Ovis aries: one gene and its partners. The protein of the gene in region 6 interacts with the protein of the main gene of each other region in a pairwise test. Links are inferred from orthologs where the notes say so. Each region holds a gene or a part of one and is shown on either strand. Other genes may lie near its edges.

Region 1 (3,928 bases), on a different chromosome or scaffold from region 6:
ATGTTCGTTTTCTAGACGACAAGCACAAAGGATTTTTTTATTACCAGTGCCCAACCATTTCTGGCACATACGAAATGCCCATTATAACTCATATGTTGTTTCATAAATTTTAAATCTTATTTCACATACATTATCTTATCTGGTCCTTTCAACAGTTTTTTGAGCTTGACAAAGTTGATTTTAGTCTACTCATTTGGTTGACCAATAAAACGGCTTAAAGATAGGGTCTTAAAGGAAGTTAGGTAGAGATAAGTAATGGGCATAAATCCCTGTCTTCTGACTGCCACTCTCTTTATCAAATCCCACTGAAGGTTAAAGGGTATCCAACAAGCAGGATTATTCTGTGTGTCGATAAAAGAAAGGTAATCAATATAACCGAAGAGGAAAAAACAAACAAACAAACAAACAGGCTTTGTGTAAAGCTCAGCTTGCCTTTCCTCATCCTTCAAAACCCACTCCAGATGAGAGCTATATTTCCCCAGTATAACTCTAGAGCGTAAGAAATGGGCGCTAAACCACTTGACCTGTGATCAAATTGCCGAAACTCCAGTAACTGGATGTTTTATTATTGATAGAAATTTTTTTCGTATCATGACTGTCAAGAGATTTTGCTTCAATGTGCTCTTCAAATTTTCAGACAGCCTGTCGTGATGGATTCTTTCTACTTTGTCTCGTCTGGCTTCTAGATGCCAGAAAGCGAGCCATCATTGTCCAAAGGGGAGAGGCCTGTGTTAGAAGTCTAGCAAGAGAAATGGCTGTACTGCAGGTCTGCATTCTGATTCTGGGCTTTTACCTTGACTCATGCCACTAACCTGGGGGATAAGGCCACACCCACCTCACGGGATGCCGTGAGACCCCAAAAGTCAGAGCGACTTTTAATTTAGAACTTAGAGCAACTCCGAACTAATTCGGAGGTCATAACAAATGCTTTCATATTTTATCACTTGTGCTTTCCCAATATAATATGATCTAACTAATTTTGAAAATAATATGACCTTAGTAAAGCAGAGTTCATGCCTTTGCAACCCTGCCCCACCGCACCCTATCTCCCACCCGCTTTTCTCTCGGGCCGAGGGAGGCTGAAGGGGCGCGCCCGCTGTGACGTGTAATCCTTGGGCGACTGACGTCACTGCCAGGCGCCGGGAGTCACGTCGGCCGGTCCTTCGGCGGGCTTTTCGGGGACAAAGATGGCTATGGCCAGCGATTTCTACCTGCGCTACTACGTAGGGCACAAGGGCAAATTTGGACACGAGTTTCTGGAGTTTGAGTTTCGGCCGGACGGTGAGCGGAAGAGAGGCGACTGCCGCACCTGGGAGTGATGATGAGCAGGGGAGAAGCGAGGCGGAGAGGCCGCGAAGGAGGCAGGGTGGGTGGGTGAGCTTGCTCGGGCTCGCGAGTGTACAGTTGGGTCCAGGAGCTTAAAAATGTAGGAAGCTTACATTGGTTTGAGGGAATAAAAGAGAATTAGTCGGTGTCAATTATTTCAGAAAAGCCTATGCTACCTTTGATCCTAAAGTTCAAGCTATAGTAATCAGAATTCTAGAATCAGTTCACCGGAAGGGACCTTAACGGCCTTCTAGTTAATTAACCTAATACTTGGACATTTTTTGACATCCCCACCAAGCGGTGGATCCATGGACACTTAAAATCTTCCTTTAAATAGTAAATTTCAGACGGCCCATTCATCCTGAATTAATTTACTCGTTCAGGCACTGTATGGAAGGCAGAAAAGCAAAATGCTCTGGAGGTGGGAAGCCCAACGTGTAGAAAAACGAGTGTAATGATGTCTTTCGGGTGCTTAAATACAGTTGTTCGCTATTGGATGCATTAAGACTATTAAAAGGGGGCGCGGTTAGTTCTTCATGAAAGAGTCGGAAATCTTTTTTGAGAAGGCGACCATTGAGATGAGTATTGGAATGAGAAGACGTATTTTCTTGGTCTCTGGGAGAAAAGGCGTCAGACTCCTGAGCGCTCTAAGAGCGGGGAAGGGGGCCCGGGGTGAGGTGAAACTGCCAGTTGCCCAAGAAATATGCAGCAAATTCTATATTTTGACAACTAATTCTCTTTAGATAGTTGTACTGTATATTGAACTGTTATTGTAACAACAGTAGTCCAACTGCATAGACTGTTTTTTTGAATGCATATTATGTGCTGGGCAACACGTAAAAACAAAAATTGAGGGTACAGCAGTGCATAAGACATTTTCATTCCCTTCAAGGAGTTATATTTTGGTGGATGACATAAACATAAAACTAAGTGTAAAGCGGTATGCATATTAGGCGCTGTGTTCATGCTTTGGACAAAGTTCTGGGAGGGCATGAAAGAAAAATTAGGGGAGGTTCACATACTAGCAAAAGGGAAGAATATCAGATACATCAGGTAGAAGTCAGGGTAACTACATTCTGCAATTATTTAGGAACCTTAATCCCTAATCTTCCTGGTTCCCCTCAGGTTGTTTCTAAATTTAGCTCAGGAGCCAAATTTACTTGAATTCTCTTTATCTTTTCTTTCTTTGGACTTCCCTGGTGGCTCAGATGGTAAAGCATCTGCCTACAATGTGGGAGACCTGGGTTCAATCCCTGGGTTTATACTGTCTTCAGGGTCTTGGCATGTGACCAGCTTTTAGCTGGTCAATTTTAGCCAGTCACATGGATGAAACAGTCTTTTCTTAATCTTCAGTTCAGTTCAGTCACTCCAACTCTTGGCGACCCCATGGAATGCAGCAGATCAGGCTTCCCTGTCCATCACCAACTCCTGGAAGCTAAGTTCAAACTCATGTCCATCGAGACAGTGATGCCATCCAACCATCTCATCCTCTGTTGCTCCCTTCTCCTGCCTTCAGTCTTTCCCAGCATCAGTCTCTTCCAATGAATATTCAGGACTGATTTCCTTAAGGATGGACTGGTTGAATCTCCTTGCAGTCCAAGGGACTCTCAAGAGTCTTCTCCCAACACCATAATTCAAAAGCATAAATTCTTCCACACTCAACTTACTTTATAGTGCAACTCTCACATCCATACCTGACTACTGGAAAAACGATAGCTTTGACTAGAGGAATCTTTGTCAGCAAAGTAATGTCTCTGCTTTTTAATGTGCTCTCTAGGTTGGTCAGGACTTTTCTTCCAAGGAGTAAGCGTCTTTTAATTTCATGGCTGCAATCACCATCTGCAGTGATTTTGGAGCCCAGAAAAATAAGTCAGCCACTGTTTCCGCTGTTTCCCCATCTATTTGCCATGAAGTGATGGGACCAGGTGCCATGATCTTAGTTTTTGAATGTTGAATTTTAAGCCAACTTTTTCACTCCTCTTTCATCAAAAGGCTCTTTAGTTCTTTGCTTTTCTGCCCTAAGGGTGCCGTCATCTGAATATCTAAGGTTATTGATATTTCTTCGGCAATCTTGATTCCAGTTTGTGCTTTATCCAGCCTGGCATTTCGCATGATGTACTTTACATAGAAGTTAAATAAGCAGGGTGATGATATACAGCCTTGACATACTCCTTTCCCAACTTGGAACCAGTCTGTTGTTCCATGTCTGGTTTTAACTATTGCTTCTTGACCTGCATACAGATTTCTCAGAAGGCAGGTAAGGTGGTCTGGTATTCCCATCTTTTGAGGAATTTTCTACAGTTTATTGTGATCCACACCATCAAAGGCTTTGGTGTAGTCAATAAAACTGAAGTATATGTTTATGTACTGTTGAAGCCTGGCTTAGAGAATTTTGAGCATTACTTTGCTAACATGTGAGATGATTGCAATTGTGCAGTAGTTTGAACATTTTTTGGCATTGCCTTTCCTTGGGATTGGAATGAAAGCTGACCTTTTCCAGTCCTGTGGCCACTGCTGAGTTTTCCCAATTTGCTGGCATATTGAGTGCAGCACTTTCACAGCATCATCTTTTAGAATTTGAAGTAGCTCAGCCGGAATTCCA
Region 2 (4,060 bases), on a different chromosome or scaffold from region 6:
GGGGTGCAAAATAGCTTTAGGGACTGACCCCGCCCCTGATTTTGAGGATTAGGAACCCCTGCTTTGTTGAAGGGGCATAGACCCCAAGAGGTGGGTGAGAGGCCTGCTGAGAAACTGCTGGCACCCTATTAGCAGCTTGGCCATGTACTCCAAGATACACATACAGAAGGGGCTTGAACCCACCCCACCAAGGGTGCCTGGGTCTTCTCCACACCTGGCCACCACGTAACAACAAGCTGGGGATTGCGGAGGCAGGTAGAGATGGAACCTCTATAGCCTCAGGAGGTCCCCCCAGTCGCCTGCTGCCGAGGTCAGACCAGGTGGTGGGAGGTGATGTCACCTAGCTACCCAGCTGGGGACTGAGCAGGCTGTGGGAGGGAGGGAGCAAACTCCAAAGGAAGGGATGAGGACAGGGCTGGCAACCAGCCAAGGCCAGCTCCATGGTCAACCAGGATGTCTGGGGCCGAGAAGGAGGCAGTCGCTTGTTATCTGCAGCTGTGGACTTTGCCACTCCCAGTCCTGGCAGGGTGACTTCCCTATGCCTCTGTGGGACAGGCTGGCATGCTGGGTGGGGCTGGATGGGTCCTGAGGCCAAGTGAACGCTTTTGCTGCTGCACCAGGGCCACAGGACGGAGTTGGGACAAGGAGTTTGCAGTCATTCTTTTATTCACCCAGCAGACACTCCCTTGAGCACTTGCTGTGTGCCCGGAAGTATTCTGAATGCCAGAGTTACTGATAACATTTTCTGTTCTCATAAAGGTACAAGGGAGGCATAGTCTTGACATAGTGTGGGGCCCACCTCTGGAAATCACACTGAAGCCCCAGAATATAAGAGAGAACCAGGGGCTGGAGTGGCCGGAGGGGGAAGTGCACTCCAGACAGCAGCCGCAGCCTGCGCAAAGGCCTGGAACCCTGATGGGCTGAGAGGTTATGAGGGATTCGTGAGGTTCAGCACCTCTGGGGAGGGAGAGTGTTGGACCAGAGGGTGGGCCTGGCTACATCCTTAGCTGTAGGCAGATTATTTAATCTCTTTGTGTCTTACTCGTATGTCTAAAACGGAGGTAATAATGGTCACGGAAACTGCCATCGCAGGGTGGTTGTGAGGATTAAATGTGACATATAAGGTAACTGTTCCAGGCACCCAGATGGTTAATAAAGCCCCACTGTTGTTCTAGTTGGTTGCATCTGTACTGTTAATTCTCCTTTCCCAGGCAAGACTCCTGACGGTGGCCCATGGGCCTCTGAGGAGGTGTTGTAAGTCCGCCCAGCTCCCCACTTGCTGTGCTCCCACTCAATGGGAAGGGAACCAAGGTACCCGGGCCTTGACATTGGCACAGATTCTGAGAGGGCAGGCCAAGCAGGTGGGTGGGGTCAGGGTCCTCCTTATTCCAGCTGGGGCACGGGCACCTGGGTAGGGGTGGAGGGTGGGGGCGCATGCTGGATGATCCCCAGTGGCTCCCCTGCATCACTGCTAGGCCTTGTCCAGCCATCAGTCACGGCATCCTGACAGCTTCAGGATGGAAGTCAAAGGTCAGCTGATCAGCTCTCCCACCTTCAACGCCTCAGGTCGGTGTCTGGTTCCCCCTCTTGCTGCCTCCTCCCCTGCTCTGAGTTACCACTCGCCTGTGTGGGAAGGAGTGGGCCCTGGCCCCACAGCTGCTCCAAGATGCACCCCACCCCCTGATCTTCACTCCTTCTGTGTCCAGCTGCCCTGTTTGGAGAGGCTGCCCCCCAGATGAAGTCAGAACGTCTACGGAGTCTACTCGACCGGCAGCGGGCCCTGCAGGAGGCCCTGAGCCTGAAACTTCAGGAGCTGAGGAAAGTGTGTCTCCAGGAGGCGGTGAGGGCCTGAACCTAAGGGCGTCTGTGGTGGGAGAAGGGAGGCGAGGAGCAGGGACGAGGTAGGCAGACTGAGGCACTTGTCTGAGCTGGAGATTCCCCAAAGCTCAGCTTGGATGTCTTCGAATATGGTAATATTTTACCACAATCCCTTATCAACAATTTGAAATCCAAAAAAGAAGAAGAAGAAAAGCCTCAAAGACAAAAGAAGTTATTTCCCAAACGTGGCAGTAAAACCTGACCAGAAGTGACATGGGCTGATTTATAGTTTCGATTCACCTCTCTCGCTGCAAATGTCCACACAGTTTGCCCGAAACGGTAATGCGGTTCAGAGCATGCAGCCCAGGCCCTGAAGGGAGTGTCATATAATATGTAGTATACAGACGGTGTCACCTTTATAAAAACTGTGAGATTCTGGATTCCAAAGCAGGCTTCCCTGCCTCCCATGCCCACCGGCCCTGGGCTTTGGGCCACGGAGGGGCTGAGAGTGTGCCACACACCCACCTGGTGGAGAATTAGGAAGAGGAAGAGAAATAACAGGTGTGGGCGCTGAGCAGGGCTGGGCTGCTAGTGGGACTTCTGTACCTTCGTGTCATGACTGCTTTGCCCCATCCCCCCAACTAACCCTTGGTAGTCTTCAATCCCTGACCCCACCCAGGAGCTGACTGGCCAGTTGCCTCCCGAGTGCCCACTGGAGCCTGGTGAACGACCCCAGTTGGTCCGCCGGCGTCCCCCTGCAGCCCGCGCCTACCCTCCACCGCACCCCAACCCAGCACACCACTCCATGTGCCCCACCGAGGTGAGCTAATGGGCACGCCGAGCAAGGCAGGGGTGGGACAGGATCCCAGAGGAAGCTGAGAGGGTCTTATGGCCAGGGCATAAGGAGAGACTAAGGCTTCCCTGGTGGCTCAGAATCCACCTGCAATATGGGAGACCTGGTTTCCATCCCTGGGTGGGGAAGATCCCCTGGAGAAGGGAACAGCTACCCACTCCAGTATTCTTGCCTGGAGAATCTCATGGACAGAGGAGCCTGCTGGGCTATAGTCCATAGGGTCACAAAGAGTGGGACACAACTGAGCACCTTTCACTTTCACTCTCAAGGTGGGGAGGGAAGGAGCCTAAGGGAGGTGGCTTCCAGGTCTGAGAGAAGATACTGGTCCCTAACTGTCAGGATAAGCCTTTCCCCCTGCCCCAGGAAGATGAGCAGGTGCAGCTCTAATGCACACAAACCCTGCCCCCAGAGGAACAGTAGGTGCCCCCAGAGGAACAGTAGGTGCCCCCAGGAGGGGCAGGCCCCGCCCCCAGCCTATCCAGACTCTGACACCGCCTGGTCCTGGTGCCTGGCATTTCCATTTCCAACATCTGGTCCCGTCGCACCCTCTCGGGTGGGCCCCGCAGGAGCTGGCGCTTGAGGCCCTGGAGCGAGAGGTGTCTGTGCAACAGCAGATCGCCGCAGCTGCCCGCCGCCTGGCCTTGGCCCCCGAGCTCAGTGCTGAGCAGCGCCGGCGCCGGCGCCAAGTCCAGGCAGATGCCCTTCGGAGGTTGCACGAGCTGGAGGAGCAGCTTGGGGAGGTCCGGGCCCGCCTTGGCCTCTCGGGGGTCCCGCCATCCCAGCCCCTGCCCCTGTCCACCGGAGGAGCCGTTATCACCGCCCAGGGAGTCTGCCTGGGCACGCGCCTCGCTCAGCTCAGCCATGGTGAGCTCAGGCCCTGTTATCCCACCGACGAGAGCGGGAAGGTGGGCACTGGCTAAGGGGCCTGGCAGGGGTGGAGCTGATGAGCAGCCAGTGAAGATTGGGGGAGGTAGGCAGGACTTAGGGGACCCTAGCTGTGAGAGGAATTGTAGGCTGCTCCCAGGAAAGGGTGGGGACATTGGGAATAGGCCTCAGGCAAGTGAGGGACAGGGCCTTCCCTGGCGGTCCAGTGGTCAAGGCTCTGCACTTCCACTGCAGGGGGCACAGGTTTGATCTCTGACATAAAAACTAAGATCCCTCATGCCACTCAGTGCAGCCCAACAACAACAACAAAAAAAGTGAGGGACTCAGCCCCTGATGGTCTTGGATTTAGGTAAAGGTGGATTCTTGGGAAGTGTGCCAGGTGGGGAGGAGACGGTCCAGTGGTGTAAGGGGGTGGCACCCAGGCCTTGCATTGATAAGCGTGGGTCTCTGCTTTTCACCTGTAGAGGATGTGGTTCTGCACTCAGAGAGCAGCTCCCTCTCAGA
Region 3 (3,975 bases), on a different chromosome or scaffold from region 6:
AGTTATTGATATTTCTCCTGGCAATCTTGATTCCAGCTTGTGCTTCATCCAGCCTGGCATTTCACATGATGTACTCTGTATGTAAGTTAAATAAGCAGGGTGACAATATACAGCTTTTTATATTGACAATATACTCCTTTCCCGATTTGGAACCAATCTGTTGTTCCATGTTCAGTTCTAACTGTTGCTTCTTGACCTGCATACAGATTTCTCAGGAAATCTGTAGGTAAGATTTCTTCAGGTAAGGTGGTCTAGCGTTCCCATCTTTTTAAGAATTTTCCAGTTTGTTGTGATCCACATAGTCAAAGGCTTTGGCATAGTCAATAAATCAGAAGTAGATATTTTTGTGGAACTCTCTCGCTTTTTCCATGTCCCAGCAGATGTTGGCAATTTGATCTCTGGTTCCTCTGCCTTTTCTAAATCTAGCTTAAACATCTGGAATTTCACTGTTTACGTACTGTTGAACCGTGTTAATAATGTTAATAAATATATGAACATTCTCTATTCCTTTAAGGGAAAGTGATGAAGGAGCTGGCGAGTCAGCGGGAGCTGTTCCTGGAAATTCCCAAGACCTCAGCACAAGCCTGGAAAGGGAGGTGAAGGTGTTACAGTGGAGGATTATGGGGGGCATCTGTGGCCGTGCCAAAGGAAAAAAAATCTTGTCAAGAAAAGAGAGTATACAGAGCCCTGTTAATCAAAGCCTGTAACCTAAAGGAGTTCCCTCAAAGTTTTACGCCGCGAACTGCAGTCGAGGCAGGTCCCAAGGGTCAGGAGCCCCTTTCTTCCAGTCCCACAACCTTTCCCTTGGTGCTCACGTCACATGAGTGACCTAGAACTGACCCTTGAGTCTCTCTGGGCCTCCTCCCGGCGCCCCCGCCCCCGCCAGAGCAGATGCCAACTCTGCAGCCGGCAGGATGTAGGGAGATCATCGAAGTCTCAACCCGTGGTCCAACCCGCCCCGTCGCCATGGTGACCGCCGGAGTCACGCAGCTCCACCCCTTCCTCGCGACGTGGCCCCACCCCTCCGAACCCGGAAGCTCGCGGCTCGCGCTAGCTGCGAGAACAATTCCGGAGGAGGGAGGGCGGCGGTCCAGTCTCGCTCTGCCGCGCGCCCCGCCCCTCGGAGGCCGGCCCTCCAGCGCGCCCCCACGGCTCGCGGCGCTTACAGATACTGAGCGCTCAGGCCTCCAGCCCCAACCCGGGCCCCAGCAGCCTCCGAGGCCGGCCCCCTTTCTGGAGGGAAGAGCCGCCTTGGGAGGAGGGACAGGGACCTGGGGGCGGCCACAGCAGGTGAGGGGTGGGAGGGGTCCTGGGAAGCCTGGGATCTGGGTGTATGATGTGTTTGTGGCAGCAGGTGAGAGTGGTTTGTAGCGAGCACGGCTGCCTCTGTCTGTGTGACTTTGTGTGTGTGGCCCTGAGTGGGTCGGCTCATGTGACCATGCACGTGATTGCACGTCCCTGTGTGTGTCTAAGGTCGTGTCTGAGTTCATGGGGGTGATTGGTGTGCCTGTGACCCTGCCTTTGTGTGGCTGTCACCCGTGGGGCTGGAAGAAGGTGGAGATCTGTGTGTGGTTCGCCTGGGGTAGGGGGGTCGGGTACTTGACCTGGACATACTCCTGTAATCCCATACTGGGGCTACACTGCTACAGCCCAGGAACGCATTTTTCCTGTAAACTTTGAAGAACTCTGAGCAGACTAGTTATTTTGGAGATTGCACCTCAAGCCTGAAAGTGATAAATGCCTTTGTCATTGCTGAGCACGGGCCAAGTGTGAGGAAAGTGGCAGGGCTAAGCTGTCTCCTTTCCTCTTGTCATCGGGAGTCCTAAATTCTGCATTTATGCTGCTGCTTTGTCTCCACCTACAATGTTCCAGCTCTTCTTGGCAGAGAGCTTCAAGAGACTGAGGGGTAACTGAATAGCTGTGTGCAAATTTCCAAAAGCTTTAGTACTAAGACAGGGTACAAGATGAGATGTGACCGTCAAAATGTCAAGTAGTCAGCTTTTCCTCCCATGAGGTTTAGAAGATAATAGAATAAGTTTCTGAAGATAAGGATAAATCTTCCCCCCAGGAAACCTAAAAAAAGAATAGCTCTGTATTGGTGTGGTGAGGTAAGGAGACTTGCATTAAAGAGCCAATGGCATCATCCAGAGACCCTTAGGTTCTAATATTTCGCTATTGCTTGTATCAGTAAGAATCATAGATTGTCCGTATGTAGAGCATATGATTGAGGAAAAGGATCAGAAAATCTCTGACTAGTTGAACTGGTTAGATGACTTAAACATTTGTAAAGGCGATTTCATTGGCTGTGAATTGGCAGGGTCTGTTGAAATCCTGAGGGATAAGTGGACTGTAAAGTGGCTGGTTCTGGTGAAACCTTGATGGAGAAGTGCATGGAATTCTTGGTGCACACTCAAAACTGGCAGTTTTATCCTGGAGCAGCACAAGGGCCAGAGAGGACTGTGTGTCTAGTGCTGTCTCTGAGAAGGGGGTTTCCTTAAGCAAGATGAAGGGAAAATTCCTGCCACCCATTTCCCAGCAGCATGAACAGGTGCTTTTGTTTTTGTGAAGAATTGTGAGAGATCAAATCAGCGTTGAGCTTCTGGTCCACATTCTTTCTTATTTAATACGGATCAGTTGGATCACAGTCTCAGTGAACCTTTTTTTTTTTTTTGCCATATGCAGAATGTTCCCCTTGTGACTTGGAAAAGTATTCCCTTGTAGTGGATGAAAGAGAGCTAGGAGAACAAAATTCCTTTTCATACCACTCACAGCTGCTTTCCCTTTGCAGCAGTGTTTTTTCCCTCTTAAATGTCAGTTGGTCATATGCAACATTTGGTATCTGTCTTACCTTTCATGGACTGCCAAACTAGCACAAGTGTTCAAATCACTTGCTTCTATAAAAATCTAGTCACCGTTCGGTGGAATCTCTCTAACCAGTGAGATTGGTTATGAAATAAATGTTATGATATTGAGTGGTTGTGGATAATACTGAAGACTGTGGTAAGGAACCTCTTTCTACTTACTCCTGAGGGAAGAAGTGAATGACAGTGAGTGTGTATATCTGTGTACAGTGTGTGTGTGTATATTTGTAGGATAGTTTGGTTTGTGTGTTACAACTGATTCCAAACTATGAATCATTTATTTTATCCCAAGTTTGGTGAATCTAGAAGCAAAATTTCTGACTCTAGTTAGCCAAAGTGTTTTGAGTAGGTGTTTTGTTCTGATCTGTTGAGTAGGGATTTTTTTCTAAACATGTTTTTGATATTTCCTCCTGTAGAATAGTGATTGTTTATAGTAATTGTATACTAGAAAATGTCTTGATTAGGCAATAGTTAGATGACATAGGAATAGTTCAAGTCTGTCCAGATAGAAAACTTTCCAGAATTAACTATATGTGCCAGTTGCTTTCAGTTAAAAGCAGTGACCAGCTTAGAGAAAGGCTATAGTTCAAATGGCTTCAGTTTTTTAACATGTTAATATTTGTTAAGAGAAATGGGTATGCAAAGAATGATTTTCTTTATTTCAGTATGAGTAAGAACTACATCCATGCACATTGATTGTCTGTATAATACTGGCTGATGATTTTCTTCATATTTTAGAACCACTGAAGATTTCAATAAACTTTTCTCAGAACCATCCCAGCCTTGAAAGAAAAGGCCAATTATTACAGTGTCAAGGTTGTAAACCTAGTTTAATATTGGATGTCTACATTTACCATCTCCTTGGGGGTCAGTTTAGTAACCCCCAAGGCTAGAGGTAACAGTTGAGATTGCTGAGTGCCCTGTGTTTTGAGGGAGCAGATGTGGAGGGCCAAAGAGGAAGATTCATTGGCTTAAGAATCCCTGGCACCTGACCAGCCCAGAAAAGCCCCTCTAAGTTCTCAGTTCACAGTCAAGCCTAAGACTTAAGTAGGGGGTCTCAAACTCATCCTAGCCCTGCTAGAAAAACCCAGGCTTGTGCTGCAGTAGAGGACAT
Region 4 (4,244 bases), on a different chromosome or scaffold from region 6:
TGGTTACATGTGCCTTGTTCCCACGTGACCGTGAGAGACCCTTTGGGAGGGGGTGGGGTGGGGGGGCATCGGCTTGGGTCACCTGTCTCAGGGTAAAACTCAGCTGCCTGGGGGCTGAGGCCCTTTGCACCTTTCTTGATCTTCTTTTCCTGGATCTTCTCTGCACACATCTTGTAGGCTTCTGACTGCTGGTAGGCCCTCAGCTCCTTCATATACTGCTGCTTCTCCCGTTCAGCCTCGTCCAAGTACCGCTGGTGGGGGCAGGGAGAGAAGGCTCAGCCCAGTGGCAGGGGAGGCCTCGCAGGCTCCATCACTCAGCCCGCTGTGCTACACTTTACCACAGCTCCCTGCTGCCCTCCAGACAAAACTTGGCCCTTCACTCTGCCGCTCAGGCCACCTGCCAACACCCGGACCTCACTGCTGCTGCTGCTAAGTCGCTTAAGTCGTGTCCGACTCTGTGCGACCCCATAGACAGCAGCCCACCAGGCTCCCAATGGCACCCCACTCCAGTACTCTTGCCTGGAAAATCCCATGGATGGAGGAGCCTGGTAGGCTGAAGTCCATGGGGTTGCTAAGAGTCAGACACAACTGAGCATCTTCACTTTCACTTTTCACTTTCCTGAATTGGAGAAGGAAATGGCAACCCATTGCAGTGTTCTTGCCTGGAGAATCCCGGACCTCACTACCTCACCCCAATTCCAGCCTTTCTAAACCACTCCCTGGTGTCTGACTGTCTGCAGGCTCCCACCTCTGGGCTGACCTGCCCTCCGAAACCCATTTTGCCTGTTGAAATCCCATGTAGAGGGTGCAAGCTGCTGGTGATTTTGTTACATTTCCTTGATGTTTTTGCAAATTTTAAATTAATTACCAGAACTTTAAAACTGTAAGGTCTCTAACAAAAATCCAGCATCCACCCCTGACTTCTTTTATAACGGTGTTTATTAACTTTTATGTCTATTCCAGCCAACTGCCACCCTCCCCTCCCTTCAACAAGCTGGAGAGAGCTAACGGGTGGTCAGTCCTTCCGGCAGAACGAAGGGCCTGCCACACCTGTTCCTTGAGGGTAAGTGATGGAGGATGGATGTCTGAGTGAGTGAGGGCAGGTCAGTCAGTGGTCCCAGGCCGTCCCCACCTGTTTCTCCGCCGGCTGCAGCTTGCTCCACTCGGCGCCCAGCATCTTGGTGATCTCGGGAAAGGGCAGGTCCGGGTGGCGCGTCCGGATCTGCTCGCGCCGCTCGTTCAGGAAACGCACGTAGCCGGTAACAGGTGCCTTGGGCCCATTTGGCAGGATCTTCTTCCGCTTCTTGCCCTTGGGCCAGCCGCGCTTCTTCACCGGCTGCCGAACCCAGTCGCGCTGTTGGGAGGGGTCTGGAGGGCTGGGGCTGGGCACAGAGGGGAAGGGGCGGGGCCCTGGAAGACTTGGGTAGGGCCTAACCACGAGGTGGGACCCAGAAGGTATGGAAGTATGGCCTGGTCAGGGTTCAGAATTGGGAGAGTGGGGTTAAGAGTGGGGTTAAGGTTTACCCTGGCCATGGGTAAAGGGATCAGAGAGGTACTGGAGACAGAGCATTAACCCAAGGATGGGGTAGGCTTGTGTTGTGGGCGTGTCCCCTGTATGGGCGTGCCTTACTAGCAGAGTCCCCAGGTAGCGGGCGGGGCCTAGACTGGCAGTGGAGCTCTTGGGGGCGTGGTATCTGGCATGGGGCGGGCCTCAGCTTGGGCAGGGAAATCTGGACTGTGGGCGGAGCCACAGCAAATTCAAATTTAGCTCTGGGCGGAGCTTCAAGGGTAAGGGCTACCGCCACGGCAGTGCAGGGACTCTCACCTCCTCTTCGTGGGACCCCTTCTCTCCGGCCCGCGGGCCCTCGCCGCGCTCTTGCTTGACAGCCACCACGAAGCCCCCATGCTGTCCTGGAGCCTTGGCGCTCGCCGGCCTGGAGCCACGGGAAGCCAGGGTCACTCCCACTCCCCACCCTCGACGACGGATTTGGCAGCAAGGGGCCTGAGTCCTCAGAAGAGGGCTCTGAGAGGGTCAGGATACGGAGGTTGAGACTGGAGCACTAGGGGAGCAACAAGGGACCTCGGAGAGACTAGAGCTACGGGACGCCAGGGTCACCCACCCCTTCCCCCACGACTAAAGAGCTGGCAGCTAGCGGCCTGAGTTCTGAGAGCAGGGGTCTGAGGAGGTCAGGATCCGGGGTTAGGGCAGGAGAACTAGAGGAGGCCAGCAGGCCACTCCTGAAAAGGACTGGAGCACGGAGGTTTAGGGGAAGCCCGTGGGAACCCCCAAGTGGGGGGCTCCTGTTCCAAGTCAGAGGAGTCAAGACCCTGGGCGCGGGGGTCGAGAAGCTCCAACGGGACGGGGTGGCTGCAGCCCCGAGTGAGCTGAGGGGGAGGGGATGTCGCACTCACGCGGAGGCCGCGCCGGGCTGCTTGGGGCCGTGGGACATGGCCACTCCCGGCAGCACCTGGAACGTAGACGCGTGGCCAAGTGAGGGTCGCCCAAGCCAGCGATGGCGGGGCTGAGCTGGGAAGCCCTGTAATGCCAGGTCCGGGGCGCCTGGGGGGGCCGGAACCGGGGGCGGGGAGGCCCTCGGGGGCGGGCGCCCCAGGGATCCTTTGTTGGGCGATCGCCCCCCAGGAGGCCTGGGTCCGCACCCTCCCGGCCCAGGAGGGTCCCCGCCCCGGCCCTGGGATCCCCGCGCCCCCGCCTCCTCGCAGGGCCCCGAGTTCCGCGGCTGTTTTCACCTCCAAAGAAACTTTCCCGGACCTCTCGGCTGCTACGACGCTCCAACCAACCGCCGGGAGCCCGCCCCTGCCGCCCGCTCCGCCCTGCACCGCCCCCGACATGCTAATAACGACTCGGCGAGCGATCGGATTGGGTATACCCCTCCCTTGGGGCGTGACCATGCAGATGAAGGTCGGCGCGCCCGTTGGTGATTGGCTGCGGTAGCCACTGAGCCGCGTGGGAGGTTAAGTAGGGAAAGCTGCAGGCGGGCGCGTCAAGTTCGGCTGTGCTCGGCCGCTCTCGGGACCAATCAGGATGTTTTCAGATTTCGCCGGGTGGAGCCTCTTAAAGGGCCAGCAGGCGCAGCTCAGACTCCTCCTCCCCTGCTGAAGGCGAGACTCCCCGCCCCTGCAGGATCCGGAGTTCGGCCCCGCCCTAGTTGTCATGGGGACGGTAGTAGGTTGCTAGGGAAGGGGTTAAGGTCTTTTGGAGCAGTCCCTTTCCCCACTGCACAGTGGGACCTGTTCTTAGCAGACCGGGTGGAGAAGTTTCCCGTTTATTGACTGGACTTAAAGCCCCCAACGGGGCCGTGCCCCGCCCTGCATGTGAAAGGGCCTGCTGTGAAAGGGCCTCAGCTTTCTCTCCTATGCAATGGAAGCGTTGCACAGGGTCCATGTCCAGAAGGCCGGATGAGGCGAAGCTGAGACCAGGAGCTGGGCTGGAAGCAACTAGGAAGAATGCGGTGGGGACAAGAAAGCTGCGAGGACCTCGTGAAGATGGAGGGCCAGGAGACCCTGCTCTGGGATCTTGGGGAACCCCAGACAGTAGCCTGGTCCTCTTACAGCCTGGACTGTGTTTCCTACTACCCCAGGATAATTGTGGTCACTGGATGCTCATGATGACCCGTTAGACCCCAAACAACCTACCCACAGCACTTTTCCGCTCTCGCCTCCCTGCATTTTCCTCCTCACTTACTCTGGCGACCTCAACGTTCCTTAGATATGTCCATTTCATTCATTCCCACCTCTGGGCCCTTGCACTTGCCCTTAATGCCCTTTCCCCAGATTAAATGTACCCCTTTCCAGTGAGACATTCCCAGGCTTGTACCCCACCCCATACACCCCATCTTATCTTTTTTTGTGTTCATTTCCTCCTTATAAGCTGCCAGTTTGCTCATTGCTATATTGCCAGCACCCAGAATAGTGCCCACAGGTGCTGTCAATGCATATATATTAAATAAACAAATAAATGTATAACGTAAATTTCTAACAGGCAGGTGCAGCAGCTTTGGAATGCAGTCTGGCAGTTCTTCAAAAGGTTAAAAAACCAAAACATAGAGTTACCATGCGATGTACCCAGGAGTTAAAGAATGGGCTTGCAATACAGGAGACCCAGGTTCAATCCCTGGGTCAGGAAGATTCCCTGGAGAAGGAAATGGCAACCCACTCCAGTAGAGAGAAGCGCCTGGCAAGCTACAGTCTGCTACTGCTAAGTCACTTCAGTCTTGTCCAACTCT
Region 5 (4,291 bases), on a different chromosome or scaffold from region 6:
TCTTTATCCCCCACCCCCTCCAAAGAAATATACCTGTTGCTCTCCACTTTCTACCTTGTATTGCAGATATTCTACTAGATTTTAAGCTCCTAGAAGATGAGATCTGTCTGATTCACCTTTGTATACTCTTTGTATCCAGTATTGAGCTTTGCAAAAAATAAATGTCAAATGAATACTGGTATATTAAAGACAGCAAAGGTGGTTCAGCTGATCCTTCAGAAACCTGGTGTCAAGCTCTTCCCAGATCTAACATCAAACTATATATACTGAGTTAACAAGTAATACATTATTCAATGACTTCTAAAAAGCATTAATGTTAATGTGGTTAATCCTATTAATTACTGCTACAGTGATCAAGAAATGGAATACTTAGTAACTGAGCCCAAATACATTAAGGTATTAATAATCTTAACTTATAAACACTCTAGCAGACAACTTCCTAAAATATCCGGATTGTTTCTAGATATGTAATCAATTATGAATCAAAAGGGATATTTCTTTTGTTTTCCAGGTCATACTCACCATAACAGTCGAGCATCAGCAGTAAGTCCCGCAATTGAGATACCAATATGGTTATCAACATGGAGAATTTTTTTCTGATGAGCCGCAAGTTCTGACTGTGCTCTCTAAATAGAAACATCATTTAAGACAAAAGAGTAAGTTTATAATTTTATTATTTATATAGTGAAACTAACATTTTACAGTGTTTTCTAAAGGAGGAAGATATATTTATTGCTTTACTTACCTTCAATGCAACCAACACTGCATGAGTTTTTGATTTCAGACCAACTGTGGCTGAACCTTGTTTGACAGCTTCCATTGCATATTCAATTTGATGAATTCTGCCCTAAAATGAAAAAAAAAAAAAAACCCAACACACCTTAGTCATTACAAGACCCTTTTATATATTTAACATAATTTAGCAATCCCAAATCTCAAGTGGGCATAGTTACATCTCAAATGCTGTTTCTTAAAACTAGAAGACTGACTTTAATGATAAACTTAGGTTTCAGGAACGTATAAAATGATTATATTCCATTTTCTCACTTCCTACAATCCCATAAGCTTCTAAACACATTGCAGTAACCAAAAGTTTACCTGAGGGCTCCAAACAGTGACATCATTGTCATACTGGTTGCGAAACTGAAAGTAAATGAAAAAAGACCTATTAACACAAGAACATTACAAATTCAAAATCTTCACAAGCTCTATCATTAAAAAATGTTCTCCCATCTCTCTCCATCCAGCATTAAGGAAAAGCTGCTATTGCAGTCTCATTGGAAGATTACTACTGTAATCAGCTGCAAGTCAATTTTACATTTATAAGGAGATGGGGGGGGGCGGATCTAAATGGTACATAGCTTCCCAATCAGTCTAGCAGTTCTAACACTGTTCATAGTACTTGGTTTGGGTTTAGTCAATTACTAAAGTTCCTATATGTCCACTTTCCTTTCTATCTTTGCTAATATTCTTCCCTTTTTTCAGACCCTAATAAATGGTCAAAAACATTACTACCTTTTCTTAAGTCAGCTCAAATGTCTATCTCTTGAAATCTTCTCCATCTTTTCTCCCCAAATCTCAAAACATATTCCCACCAGTTCTTTATCTACACTTACTTTTCTGCCTCATACTACGATTTGGGATATGTCTGATTTATCCTTGAACCTTCACTGCCCTTAAAACATTCATATTGAACGTGCCTTTCATTCATTCATACTGAATGAGAACACAAGAATGTCCCCAGGAAGTCATAAGTGGACACAAACTGCCATAAAAACAGACCCATTACAGCTTTAAAGACGGTATTAAGTCCACCAGCACAGTGCTTGGGAGACTAATCATGGGGGTGAGAAGGTTGAGCGCTGGAATGGCAGGCACTGGCCTGGAATCCCTGAGCTCTATACTATAACCCTGATTTCATCACTAATATCAGCTTCGGTTCACTCATTTGTCGGAGAAGGCAATGGCACCCCACTCCAGTACTCTTGCCTGGAAAATCCCATGGACGGAGGAGCCTGGCAGGCTGCGGTCCATGGGGTCGCTAAGAGTCGATACGACTGAGCGACTTCACTTTCACTTTTCACTTTCATGCATTGGAGAAGGAAATGGCAACCCACTCCAGTGTTCTTGCCTGGAGAATCCCAGGGACGGGGGAGCCTGGTGGGCTGCCGTCTATGGGGTCGCACAGAGTCGGACACGACTGAACCGACTTAGCAGCAGCAACAGCAGACAAAGTGATTGAAAAGGGCTTTTTCTGACAGAGCTCTAAGAAAAAGACTGCAGAGGGACCCGCCAAGAAAATGAACGCGGTCCAGGCAGCAACCCAAACCCTGGAATCAAGTCCGCACTTGGCAGTACAAGGAGGTCTGAAGTTAAGTCCCTATTTTTCCTTTCTGCCACACAGAGCACTAGGGCCCTCTCTGGACCGCTCGGAATTTACTCGACTGAAGGAATCTGAGGAGCGAAATCGGCTGGTAGACCGAGAAGATACTGTTCAAGACCCCGTGGAAAGCGAAACAAACCCCAGGGAAAGGTCGCAGCGGCAGCACAGACTACCGACCTCCACTCTCCCGGCCAGGCCGGAGATGCTGAATCACCGCCTGAACCATCCCGTCGGCAACGGTTCCTAAGTCCCATGGCCCCGGGCCGCTCTAAGGAAGGCATGAGAAGAAGCTCCCCCTACCCCCCAGCCAGCGGACCTCTTCCCCAACCCTGCCTAATCTCGGAATCCAACGCACCATGGTTCCGGCGCGAGCCTGGCTTCGGCCTCCTGCAAACCAGCGGATGGAACAGCACTGCCGAAACTTCCGCTCGGCGATCTACAGAGAAGACTGCGGACTTTGACGGCGGCGGCGCAGGGTAGAATAGTTTATTCCAGAGATATCGATAGGCTTCCCTTGCTTCCCCGCCCTCAAAGCTCTCAGGCGGCTCAGAAGTGGGAGGGGCCTGGGAAGCTAGAGGAACTGAGATTGGCTGGAAACCTTGGCCAGGAGTGCCCGCGGGAACTAGGAGCTGCTGGGCTGCCGCTACCAAGTACCCCTTCTTGGGTTCTTGGTGAAGTTACCTCCGTGTTGCTGACTCCTGTCAGTTTCTCACCGGCCTGACCGGATGCACCAGAGACTACAGGTGATCGAGTGTGTGGCTCAGTCTCCCCTTAAACGATATATGAGGTGTTGGGTAATATGAGAAGAACGATACTGAAAGAAAGGCCACAAATAATGGTCCGTTTTTGTGCCAACCATCCTCTCTCTCTATCTTGTCTGTGAACATGCTTTTCTTTCTACTTTGGAATCCTTTCTCCTACTCCTTGGAGAACTCATCTTTCAAGGATTTGTTATCATCAGTCTTTTTAACATTATTATTGGTTTTACCCCAAGAGACTTTGCTCTCTGAGGGCGCCAGTGTCTTTCTGTACCTTCAAAACCAAGCACGATGCTGAAAGATTAGGCAACTAAGGAAAAAGGTAGACATTTTCTTCCAAGACACATATTTTCTCTTTTGTGAGCAATTTTTAGTAAATCCTCGAATGAAATAGTTTAGGACAGTTGTGCAATCAGCTGCCAACCTAACATTTACCGACTGCCAACGATGAAGTGAAGTGAAGTCGCTCAGTCGTGTTCTACTCTTTGCGACCCCATGAACTATACAGTCCATGGGATTCTCTAGGCCAGAATACTGGAGTGGGTAGCCTTTCCCTTCTCCAGGGGATCGTTTCAACCCAGGGATCGAAACCAGGTCTCCTGCATTGCAGGCGGATTCTTTACCAACTGAACCACAAAGGATGGTATTTTCTTTATAAAAAAGAAAGGATGGATACCTAGAGTCATATAACGGAAGAGTTGAGAGGGTCCTTAAGTATCTAAGCTTTGCAGGTGAAGAAGAGACTCAGCTCACTTAAGTGATTTGCTCAAGTTCCCAGCAATTTAGTATCAGACTCTTTTTTTAAACCTTGTCTCATATATTTTGGACATTTCTTCATGTTAAACATTTTCTAGGTTAAACATGACTCCCTAGTATTATGCACTGGATATTTTATTTACCCAAATTCCTAGTCTTTAATATTTAGGTTACCCCTCTCCCAGGCAGCTTATTTATGACATATCTTTTGTATACACATCTGCACTCCTTTTTTTAGAATAAATTCCTGAAAATGGAATTGTAGGGTCAAATGAAATGGATATTTCTAAGGCTTTTATAAAAAGTACTAAATTGCTCTGGAGAAATGTTTTACCAAAATGTATTCTCAACCCTTGTCTATGAGTGATCCCTTTCTTAAATTCACCAATATTGC
Region 6 (3,500 bases):
GTATACATGTCAGAAGCATATACCATTACTGACAGTTTATGAATCTGTACAATAGAAAATTATGATCACTGACTATAACATTTAACTTTAGATATTTGCATCACCAAGTCATGAAACACTAATCCAATTTAATCTTATATTTGCAATAAATCCCTAAAATCACAAAGAATAAACACAAGTAATATGGAATTCAATTTTTTCTGCCCATTTTGCTTTTACAGCTGATATGAATATGAACTACTTACATGACTCAAAAAATAGGAACGTTTCAAACTCATTTTTAACTCATTGTTAAAGGAACTGAATGAAAGAGATAGAATGATGCATTAAGGTCCCATAGCTACTTTCATGGGAGAAACAGGAACAAGCTGTTATGTGTTTTGCAATATATTGACACCAACACATACACATTACAACTGCCACCGAGAGTGTTTTAAAAATTTAAAAGCCATGTATCAAAAAAATTACATCCATAGCAGTAAATATGTCTATTGGCTTTAGGACAAAATTCCAAAGCAAGCTAACTTTCCCAAAGTCAAAATTTGACTGTAATTCAGGTTTTAACATTTATGTCATAGCCTATAAAGGTTATTTGTAACATGATGTGTTTAATTGACTTAAAAATAATTTTTCTGAGACTAAAAAGAAATAAGAGAGGAGTACACCAGGTACGTTTAAATGTTTATGTGGGTATTTACCTTACACCAACAAATCCTAATTGTATAGTTGCCCAAACTGATGGAGAAAAATACTCACTGAAAAATAAGATCCACTGCTTGGATAACTGAGATGAAACTACGACAGGAAACCAAACACAGAGGTCCTTTACTGACTTCTTGCTTTTCTTCCTTTTGGAAAAGCTTGAAACTCTCAGATATGTCATACTCTAACATGTTCACACAAAATTTGTCACATTCTCTTTTCCTATGCATGAACAACATTTTAGATACATTTTATATTACCATGGGAAAAGATCAAACTATCAGATATGAGACAGTACAAAAAAGTGTATTCAGGCTTCAAGTTGTGAAAGTTAGGACGGTACCCACCAGTCCTCAAGGCAGAAACACAAAGGAAGTGAAGACATTTGCTTCCAAAGAGTTCCCATACCTTGTTTTTTTCCTGTGGCTCGACTCCTGATGTCTTGAAATCAGGACCTTCCGAGTTTTCACTTAATCTATTTCTCCTGTGCAGGAGTTCTTCCATTTCTTTCACCTGGACCTTTAACCTTCTATTTTCTCTCTCCAGTCCTTGTTTTTCCTTTTCAAGTAGCTCCCTCTTGTCCCATTCAGATGTATTTTCAGCCTGCAATCTCTCTAGCTAAAGACAGAAAACACAGAAAAGCAATATGTAGCATTTGCAATTGCCAAAGTGAATATGTCCATTTACACATTAATTTTTCTATTTTTTGGCCACATCCAAGGCAGGCAGGAAGTTAGTTCCTCGACCAGGGATTGAACCTGTGCCCCCTGCAGTGAAAGTATGTGGTGTTTTAACCACTGAACCACCAGGGAAGTCTCTACACAATTTTTAAAAAGAGAACTCTATTTGTCTGAAAAGTTGAAAACAACACATAAGCCCTAAGACCAGATCATGTGCTAGGTAAATTTACCCTTTCTCTTGGTTCATGGGACTATTTCTAGAACCAAACAGACCATATTTTTCAATTAAAAATATTAAGTGAGACATTGATGATATTTTGCCATCAAGCTCCACTCAGCTGATGAGAATTTATCAGTTGAGAAGGAACAAAATCATTTCTTGGGAAATTTTGGTTGGATGGATATAGCTCATATATTCTTTCACTCATTCACTTATTTACTATACCTTTCAACTTCCAGGCACTATGCTAGTCATTGTACAGATGGTGAATGTAATAAAATATCATAAACGCCATGGTTAAAGTACTGTACAATATAGACAAACTCACCTGAATGAATGGCCTATTTGATTTTCAGGGAATGGAGGTTGGCAACATGATTAAAATCAGAGGTATTTTAAAACTATGTGTTATGGACCAAGGTTGAAAATTACTTGTTTTAACATTGTTAGTTTTAAATGGCTTGATGGCAAAGTGTTGACTAGTACTGCACTATTATAAAGTAGTTTCCATGACTTTAAATTTTCTAAGAGAAATCAACATTAAGAAAATGTTAGACTTCAATAATATCTTTGGAAATTAATTTTGATTAAAAAGTCTAAAAACTGCTTTTTCATACACACATAATTGAGCCATTATTGTAGAAAATGTTCTGTTCCCAAATCTAAGCGAGGCTCTGGTTTCTGAAAAAACAGGAAACTAAAATTACACTCTTGGCACTAGATCTTCTCTATCAATTAAACATAATAAACTAAGGGATCAAATTTTAGATGACGTGATTTGACATTTGGGGTGCCTGTTTGGGATATGAGGTGAAAACAGTATTTCACAATCCAATTTAGAACATGACATGACTTTAATTATTAAGATTAATGCTTAAGCTTTTTGACTAGCATCACATCACTTATCAGAATGAAAATAATAAAGTTGTAATAAAAAATCATCAACTTTGTGATGAAAAATTAATTTTATGAGAATAAATGTATTCTTGGTCAAGGACAAATAGGATGTTATGTCAAGTCTTTGTAAAACTTTAGGCATTTAAAAGACATCGCTAAATTTGAATTTATACCTAATAACAGATAACAAGTAGAAATAGAATTTTAAATAAATAATAGATGGCTTGAATGAAAAAAATCTAACTTTAAAAAGTTGAAGGAATTATATTAACAGCAATAACAACAAAACTTAAATAATGATGTGTTATTATTTACTATTTGAAGGTTTTTATTGACATACCAATTATCTGATAAATTTAGGCATATAATAAACATCAAAAAAGTATGGGTTTGTGAAAACTGGATCATAAATTTTATTAGCTATTTTAATTTCATCTTTAATGATTCTTTCTTGTCAGATTATTCTTTTCTAAGAATCATACAAAATCTACTACCTTAAAAGCCATTCAATTAAACGTGGAGTTAAAAGGAATGAAAGAAATATCAGGTATTACTTTAAGCTTTCAGAGTATTTTGTAAGCAGTTCTAACAACTGATCAATTTGAAATGGAATTCTATTGATTCACTTCCAATGATCAACAGAAAAATTCTAAAACATTTTAATTCTAACTGTAATACACTATGAATGTTAATAGTGAAAGTGTTAGTCTCTTACTTATGTCTGACTCTTTACAACCCCATGGACTGTAGCCCACCAGGCTCCTCTGTCCATGGAATTCTCCAGACAAGAATACTGGAGTAGGTAACCATTCCCTTCTCCAGGGGATCTTCCCAGCCCAGGGACTGAACCTGGGTCTCCTGCATTGTAGGCAGATTCTTTACTATCTGAACAGCCAGAGAAGGAGAATCAAGCTAGAAGTATCTCAATAAAAGGAAGTAGGAGATGGATTTGAATATTCTAAGAGCCAAGAGCCCAATCATGACATATTAGGAGCTTAGGA
Region 7 (4,282 bases), on a different chromosome or scaffold from region 6:
TCAGCTCTTCGCATCAGGTGGCCAAAGTACTGGAGCTTCAGCTTCAGCACCAGTCCTTCCAGTGAATATTCAGGACTGATCTCTTTTAGAACTAGCTGGTTTGACCCGGATGGAGAGAAGAGGGCAAAGGGAAAGGAGCAGGAGAGGTCAGACTGACAACAGGTACAGATCATATAGGTCTCTGTAGATCAGGCAATCCTGAGTTGCTGAGTGGAGAGTAGACTGTGGCAGATACGGGATTCTCGGTAAGAGGCTACTGCAGTCACCCAGGTGAGAGATCACTGTGGTTTGAACAGGATGGTGTTCCAAGATGGTGCCAACTGATCTGATTCTGGATATATTTTTAAGGCAGAGTCAACAGGACTTCCTAATTGATTGGATATGGAGCGAGAAAGAGACAAGTCTAGAGTTTTCTGCCTGGAGCAAATGGAAGGACATCATGTCATTAATTGAGATGAAGCAGACTGGGAGTGGAGCAGGTTTGGCAAGATGGTCAGGATTTCTGTTCTGGACATGCTAAATCTGAGATGTTTCTTAGACTTCAAATTGGAGAAGCTAAAGAGAGAGCTGAAATATAAGACTTTGGGTTTCATGGAAGAGATCGAGGCTGGAATATGAACTTGGAAGCAGTTACCAAACAGACAGTATTTAAACCTCAACCCTGATGACAGCACCAGGGAAGTCATCAGAGGTGAAGAGACTAGCTCCAAGGATGTAATGCTGTGGCACTACAGGAAGAGGCTGGCAACAAACGAGAAGTCAGCAAAGGGAGCTCCCTGGTGGCCTAGTGTAAGGATTCTGGGCTTTCACTGCTGGGGCTCAGGGTTCAACCCCTGGTAGGGGAACTGAGATCCCACCAGCAGGCGTCGGAAGCGGGAGAATAGGAGCCAGCAAAGGATACTGAGAGGTGTGTGCGTGTACTCAGTCGTGTCTGACTCTTTGTGACCCTGTGGACTTTTCCTGACTATAGCCTGTCAGGCTCCCCTGTCCATGGGATTCTCCAGGTAAGAATACTGGAGTGGGTTGCCATTTCCTTCTCCAGGGGATCTTCCTGGCTCAGGGATTGAACCAACATCTCTTGCATTGGCAGGTGGGTTCCACCACCTGGGAAGCCCACTGAGGTGAAAAACTAGCAAAACAGGGATGTGATGTCTTAGAAGCGGAGTAAAGATACTGTAGCAAGGAGGCTAGTGTTTGTGAACGCTGCTGCTGCTAAGTCGCTTCAGTCGTGTCTGACTCTGTGCGACCCCACAGACGGCAGCCCACCAGGCTCCCCCACCCCTGGGATTCTCCAGGCAAAAACACTGGACTGGGTTGCCATTTGCTTGTCCAATGCATGAAAGTGAAAAGTGAAAGTGAAGTCGCTCAGCCGTGTCCGACTCTTAGAGACCCCATGGACTGCAGCCCACCAGGCTCCTCCGTCCATGGGATTTTCCAGGCAAGAGTACTGGAGTGGGCTGTCATTGCCTTCTCCGTTTGTGAATGCTGCTCACAGACAAATGAAAGATGAGTGTTGAGAAATGGATTAAGCAACTTGGAGGTCAACACTCTCAGAGTAATAACGAGAAAAATGACCATCTTTTAAATAATCTCGCTCCCTTTCTAGTCCTGAAACAATATTGTTCTTTGTGCTCAGAGCACTCCCTACTTTTCAGTTCTCAGCACAACGGTCATGCAACCTGGGAAACCTGACTCCCAAGACTAATGCTATTGTCAGAGAAGCTATACTTTATCACGAGTGCATTATTCTAATTGCTTACTTAATTCTTTCTCTCGGGCTACACTGGAAGATCCTGACGTTAGGTATACCTTTACCCTGTTTACAGTTTTTTATCTAAACCATCTAAACTCCTAGCACGGCGGGATGTGCGTAGTAGACATTCCATGATTACTTACAAAACACGTAAATAAATGCCAGGAGAACTTAGCGGCGTGAGTAACCACTTCCTGCTGGCCTAACCTCGGTGATGCCTATAAGAGTGCCACTCTAAGGAATGGGCGTGGAGGGCTCCGGCAACCCTCAATCTGCCCCAGAGCTGGGTCTCCCAACCCCATTACCTTTGCCAAGGGCCTCAGTTTTTTGTTGTTGTTGTTTTTTAATTCCAAGTTATTCCCCTGCCAGACACCTTTCAGCCGTCCGCCCCAGCTACCCACCCTCCTCCTCGTACCCCATCCCCCCCACTCACCCAGCCGCGTGGTGCGCTCCCGCGGCACCGCGGGCCTGTCCCCGCTCCCATGCTCGGCCTCGAGCTCCTCTTGCTGCTGCCGCGCTTGCTGCAAAATCCGTCGGGTCAGCCGGGGCCCCACGTACTCTTCCTCCTCGTCTCCGGTTCCGCGACCCCGCCGTTTTTCTCGGGCTCCTGCCCGCACCGCGTCACCAGCCAGGATCTGCTCGGCCAGCGGCGCATGCTTCTCCTGACCCCCGGCCGAGCGGGCCGCCTTGAACTTGGGCATTTTTCTAGAAAACCAAGCCGTGAAGTTTCCCACGTGGGTATGGAGGAAAAAAAGGCCCCGAGTGCGCTTGCGCGGTAAACACCCAGCGCCCGAGAGCCCACCGGAGCTCACAGCGCCCCCTCGCGTCTGGAGGCCGGGTGTGCCAGAAGCCCCGTCCCACCCCCCCCCCCCCCCAAAAAGAGCTCACGGGTCCTGGAGCTGGGTCCTCCCGAATTTAACGTTGTCTTCTCTAAGTGGTTGTAGTCCGAGATACACTTTCCTAGTTTCATGGATCTGGGTCCAGGGTGCCCAGGCGAATGGGAATTCCCTGACCGGCGAACCAGGGGATCGGGGGCGGGGCGGAGTCGGGCAGTGACCTCACCGAAGGACCCAGACACGCCCTTCCTCGTGGGCGTGTCGACTGGACGCTGTGTTTTTACGTAAGTTCCGGAGCGCCTGCCTCCATTGGAGCTCGCTTTAGCGAGGTGGTTTCTCCTCTTGTGGGCTGCTGGAGCACAGCGCATTTCACTTGTTTGATCCTCCCATCTTCCTGGCACGACACCATGGGAGTGACTTGGTAGGACTTCAGAGGACTTTGTGGGGCGGGGTTTGGGGACTTGAAGGCCCCTGGAGCCTCGAATATACCCGGGAGGAGGATCCCGACCAGGGTCCACAGTCCCCCGGAAGATGAGCAAAATGTCCTCGGATTGTGTAAGTGAGGGGGCCACCGCGAGGGCTGCAGAATCTGCAGGCCCCTTTCCTCGGAGATTCGCCCCTTCTTCCTGGAAGGCGGCAGGAAAAAGGGTTTAAGAACCCGTTAATGATCGTGTACCTCCTTCCTTTTTTCTTGATACAATTTCTTGACCGTGAAGCCTGGGGTAGAACTTTAGGGTTGAAAGTAGTATGTCGGGACTCGGACCCGTCTGCAGGCAGGGCTTGGATGGGTAGGGGATAGGCAACAAGGAGATAGTATCTTTTTTAGGTTTTTGCCTGCCCCTCCTTACAGCCACTAAATGCAGTTAGATCAGCATGTGTCTGGTTCTAGTTTGGCCTTTGTAAGATCTTGAGTCTGGAGGGAAAAAAGGAGCTGTTGGGAATTAGGAGATAGGAATTACAGGCACATCACCTCTTCAGGGTCTGTTTCCTATTCTGTTTAATTACCTGGTTGGTTTAGTTTTTATGGACTTATTTTAACACGTTATAAGTCAGTGTGGCAGGGAAAGGTATGGGCTTAATTCTCTTCGAGTCATTTAGTTCCAAAATGCTAGATTTCAGAGCTTTAAAATATATATATCTTGAGCATCTCTCCCAGAGAGGGCTTAGAGGCCAGGTTATCTGAAGGCAATGGCTCTAGGCTTCTCATGTAAGAGCCTGTGGGAATTCCTGGTAGCCCAGGTCTTGCAGATTTGTCAGTGACTGCACATTTGCTTCCTGAAGCTGGCATCATGAGCCTCCTTCAAAGTCCTGTAGTGTAAGAAGGGTGCGAAGAATGGGAATGAAAAGTTTGCTAGGGTCTTTCATGACAGTCCAGTGGTTAACATTCCACGCTTCCACTGCAGGAGGCACCTTCTACTTCAAGGGGCATGGGTTCAATCCCTGATTGGGGAATTAGATCCTGTATGCCTTGTGGCGCAACCAAAAAAAAAAAAAAGCATGCTGCAAAGAGGCGTGAAACCCTGGAAGTACCTGTTCTCTCAGGGCAGAAGGCAAGCAGGGAAAGGGCTCTCTCTTGGGATGCTTCGCAACTTTTTCAGGCTTCTAGGACTTCTGACCCCAGTAGCATCACCTTAGGGATTCTCTTATATTTCAAAATGAGGCACATCATCATCATTACTTGTTAGTACTTTTT

Evidence for each region.
Region 1: the proteins of CCDC102B (region 6) and MAGOHB interact in binary tests that used the Homo sapiens proteins (3 or more experiments, as listed by UniProt). The two-hybrid records come from large-scale screens. The link is inferred for Ovis aries from reciprocal best matches to the Homo sapiens genes CCDC102B and MAGOHB.
Region 2: the proteins of CCDC102B (region 6) and CCDC120 interact in binary tests that used the Homo sapiens proteins (3 or more experiments, as listed by UniProt). The link is inferred for Ovis aries from reciprocal best matches to the Homo sapiens genes CCDC102B and CCDC120.
Region 3: the proteins of CCDC102B (region 6) and SPG21 interact in binary tests that used the Homo sapiens proteins (3 or more experiments, as listed by UniProt). The two-hybrid records come from large-scale screens. The link is inferred for Ovis aries from reciprocal best matches to the Homo sapiens genes CCDC102B and SPG21.
Region 4: the proteins of CCDC102B (region 6) and HMG20B interact in binary tests that used the Homo sapiens proteins (3 or more experiments, as listed by UniProt). The two-hybrid records come from large-scale screens. The link is inferred for Ovis aries from reciprocal best matches to the Homo sapiens genes CCDC102B and HMG20B.
Region 5: the proteins of CCDC102B (region 6) and PSMA1 interact in binary tests that used the Homo sapiens proteins (3 or more experiments, as listed by UniProt). The two-hybrid records come from large-scale screens. The link is inferred for Ovis aries from reciprocal best matches to the Homo sapiens genes CCDC102B and PSMA1.
Region 7: the proteins of CCDC102B (region 6) and BYSL interact in binary tests that used the Homo sapiens proteins (3 or more experiments, as listed by UniProt). The two-hybrid records come from large-scale screens. The link is inferred for Ovis aries from reciprocal best matches to the Homo sapiens genes CCDC102B and BYSL.

Annotation. Positions count from the first base shown.
Region 1 is NC_056056.1:204,663,485-204,667,412, forward strand, and holds the start of MAGOHB (protein mago nashi homolog 2), read left to right. Parts: upstream 1-1,128; 5' UTR 1,129-1,187; coding exon 1,188-1,281; exon of another isoform or gene 1,282-1,366; intron 1,367-3,928. UniProt on the Homo sapiens protein: Required for pre-mRNA splicing as component of the spliceosome. Plays a redundant role with MAGOH in the exon junction complex and in the nonsense-mediated decay (NMD) pathway.
Region 2 is NC_056080.1:56,043,400-56,047,459, reverse strand, and holds the start of CCDC120 (coiled-coil domain-containing protein 120), read left to right. Parts: upstream 1-1,260; 5' UTR 1,261-1,294; coding exon 1,295-1,348; exon of another isoform or gene 1,349-1,361; intron 1,362-1,475; coding exon 1,476-1,566; intron 1,567-1,706; coding exon 1,707-1,840; intron 1,841-2,497; coding exon 2,498-2,638; intron 2,639-3,237; coding exon 3,238-3,535; intron 3,536-4,020; coding exon 4,021-4,060. UniProt on the Homo sapiens protein: Centriolar protein required for centriole subdistal appendage assembly and microtubule anchoring in interphase cells. Together with CCDC68, cooperate with subdistal appendage components ODF2, NIN and CEP170 for hierarchical subdistal appendage assembly.
Region 3 is NC_056060.1:11,901,684-11,905,658, reverse strand, and holds the start of SPG21 (maspardin), read left to right. Parts: upstream 1-1,175; 5' UTR 1,176-1,290; intron 1,291-3,975. UniProt on the Homo sapiens protein: May play a role as a negative regulatory factor in CD4-dependent T-cell activation.
Region 4 is NC_056058.1:18,147,695-18,151,938, forward strand, and holds the start of HMG20B (SWI/SNF-related matrix-associated actin-dependent regulator of chromatin subfamily E member 1-related), read right to left. Parts: upstream 2,801-4,244; 5' UTR 2,749-2,800; exon of another isoform or gene 2,469-2,748; 5' UTR 2,451-2,468; coding exon 2,413-2,450; exon of another isoform or gene 1,935-2,412; coding exon 1,826-1,934; exon of another isoform or gene 1,355-1,825; coding exon 1,133-1,354; exon of another isoform or gene 964-1,132; intron 252-963; coding exon 131-251; intron 1-130. UniProt on the Homo sapiens protein: Required for correct progression through G2 phase of the cell cycle and entry into mitosis. Required for RCOR1/CoREST mediated repression of neuronal specific gene promoters.
Region 5 is NC_056068.1:37,962,038-37,966,328, reverse strand, and holds the start of PSMA1 (proteasome subunit alpha type-1), read right to left. Parts: upstream 2,801-4,291; 5' UTR 2,742-2,800; coding exon 2,739-2,741; intron 1,144-2,738; coding exon 1,099-1,143; intron 848-1,098; coding exon 746-847; intron 627-745; coding exon 523-626; intron 1-522. UniProt on the Homo sapiens protein: Component of the 20S core proteasome complex involved in the proteolytic degradation of most intracellular proteins. This complex plays numerous essential roles within the cell by associating with different regulatory particles.
Region 6 is NC_056076.1:8,522,983-8,526,482, forward strand, and holds part of CCDC102B (coiled-coil domain-containing protein 102B), read right to left. Parts: intron 1,321-3,500; coding exon 1,111-1,320; intron 1-1,110. UniProt on the Homo sapiens protein: During interphase, forms fibers at the proximal ends of centrioles to maintain centrosome cohesion. During mitosis, dissociates from the centrosome following phosphorylation to allow centrosome separation. Contributes to CROCC/rootletin filament formation.
Region 7 is NC_056073.1:15,721,004-15,725,285, reverse strand, and holds the start of BYSL (bystin), read right to left. Parts: upstream 2,801-4,282; 5' UTR 2,642-2,800; intron 2,459-2,641; 5' UTR 2,455-2,458; coding exon 2,187-2,454; intron 1-2,186. Other genes in the region: MED20 (mediator of RNA polymerase II transcription subunit 20), read left to right, coding at 2,997-3,010. UniProt on the Homo sapiens protein: Required for processing of 20S pre-rRNA precursor and biogenesis of 40S ribosomal subunits. May be required for trophinin-dependent regulation of cell adhesion during implantation of human embryos.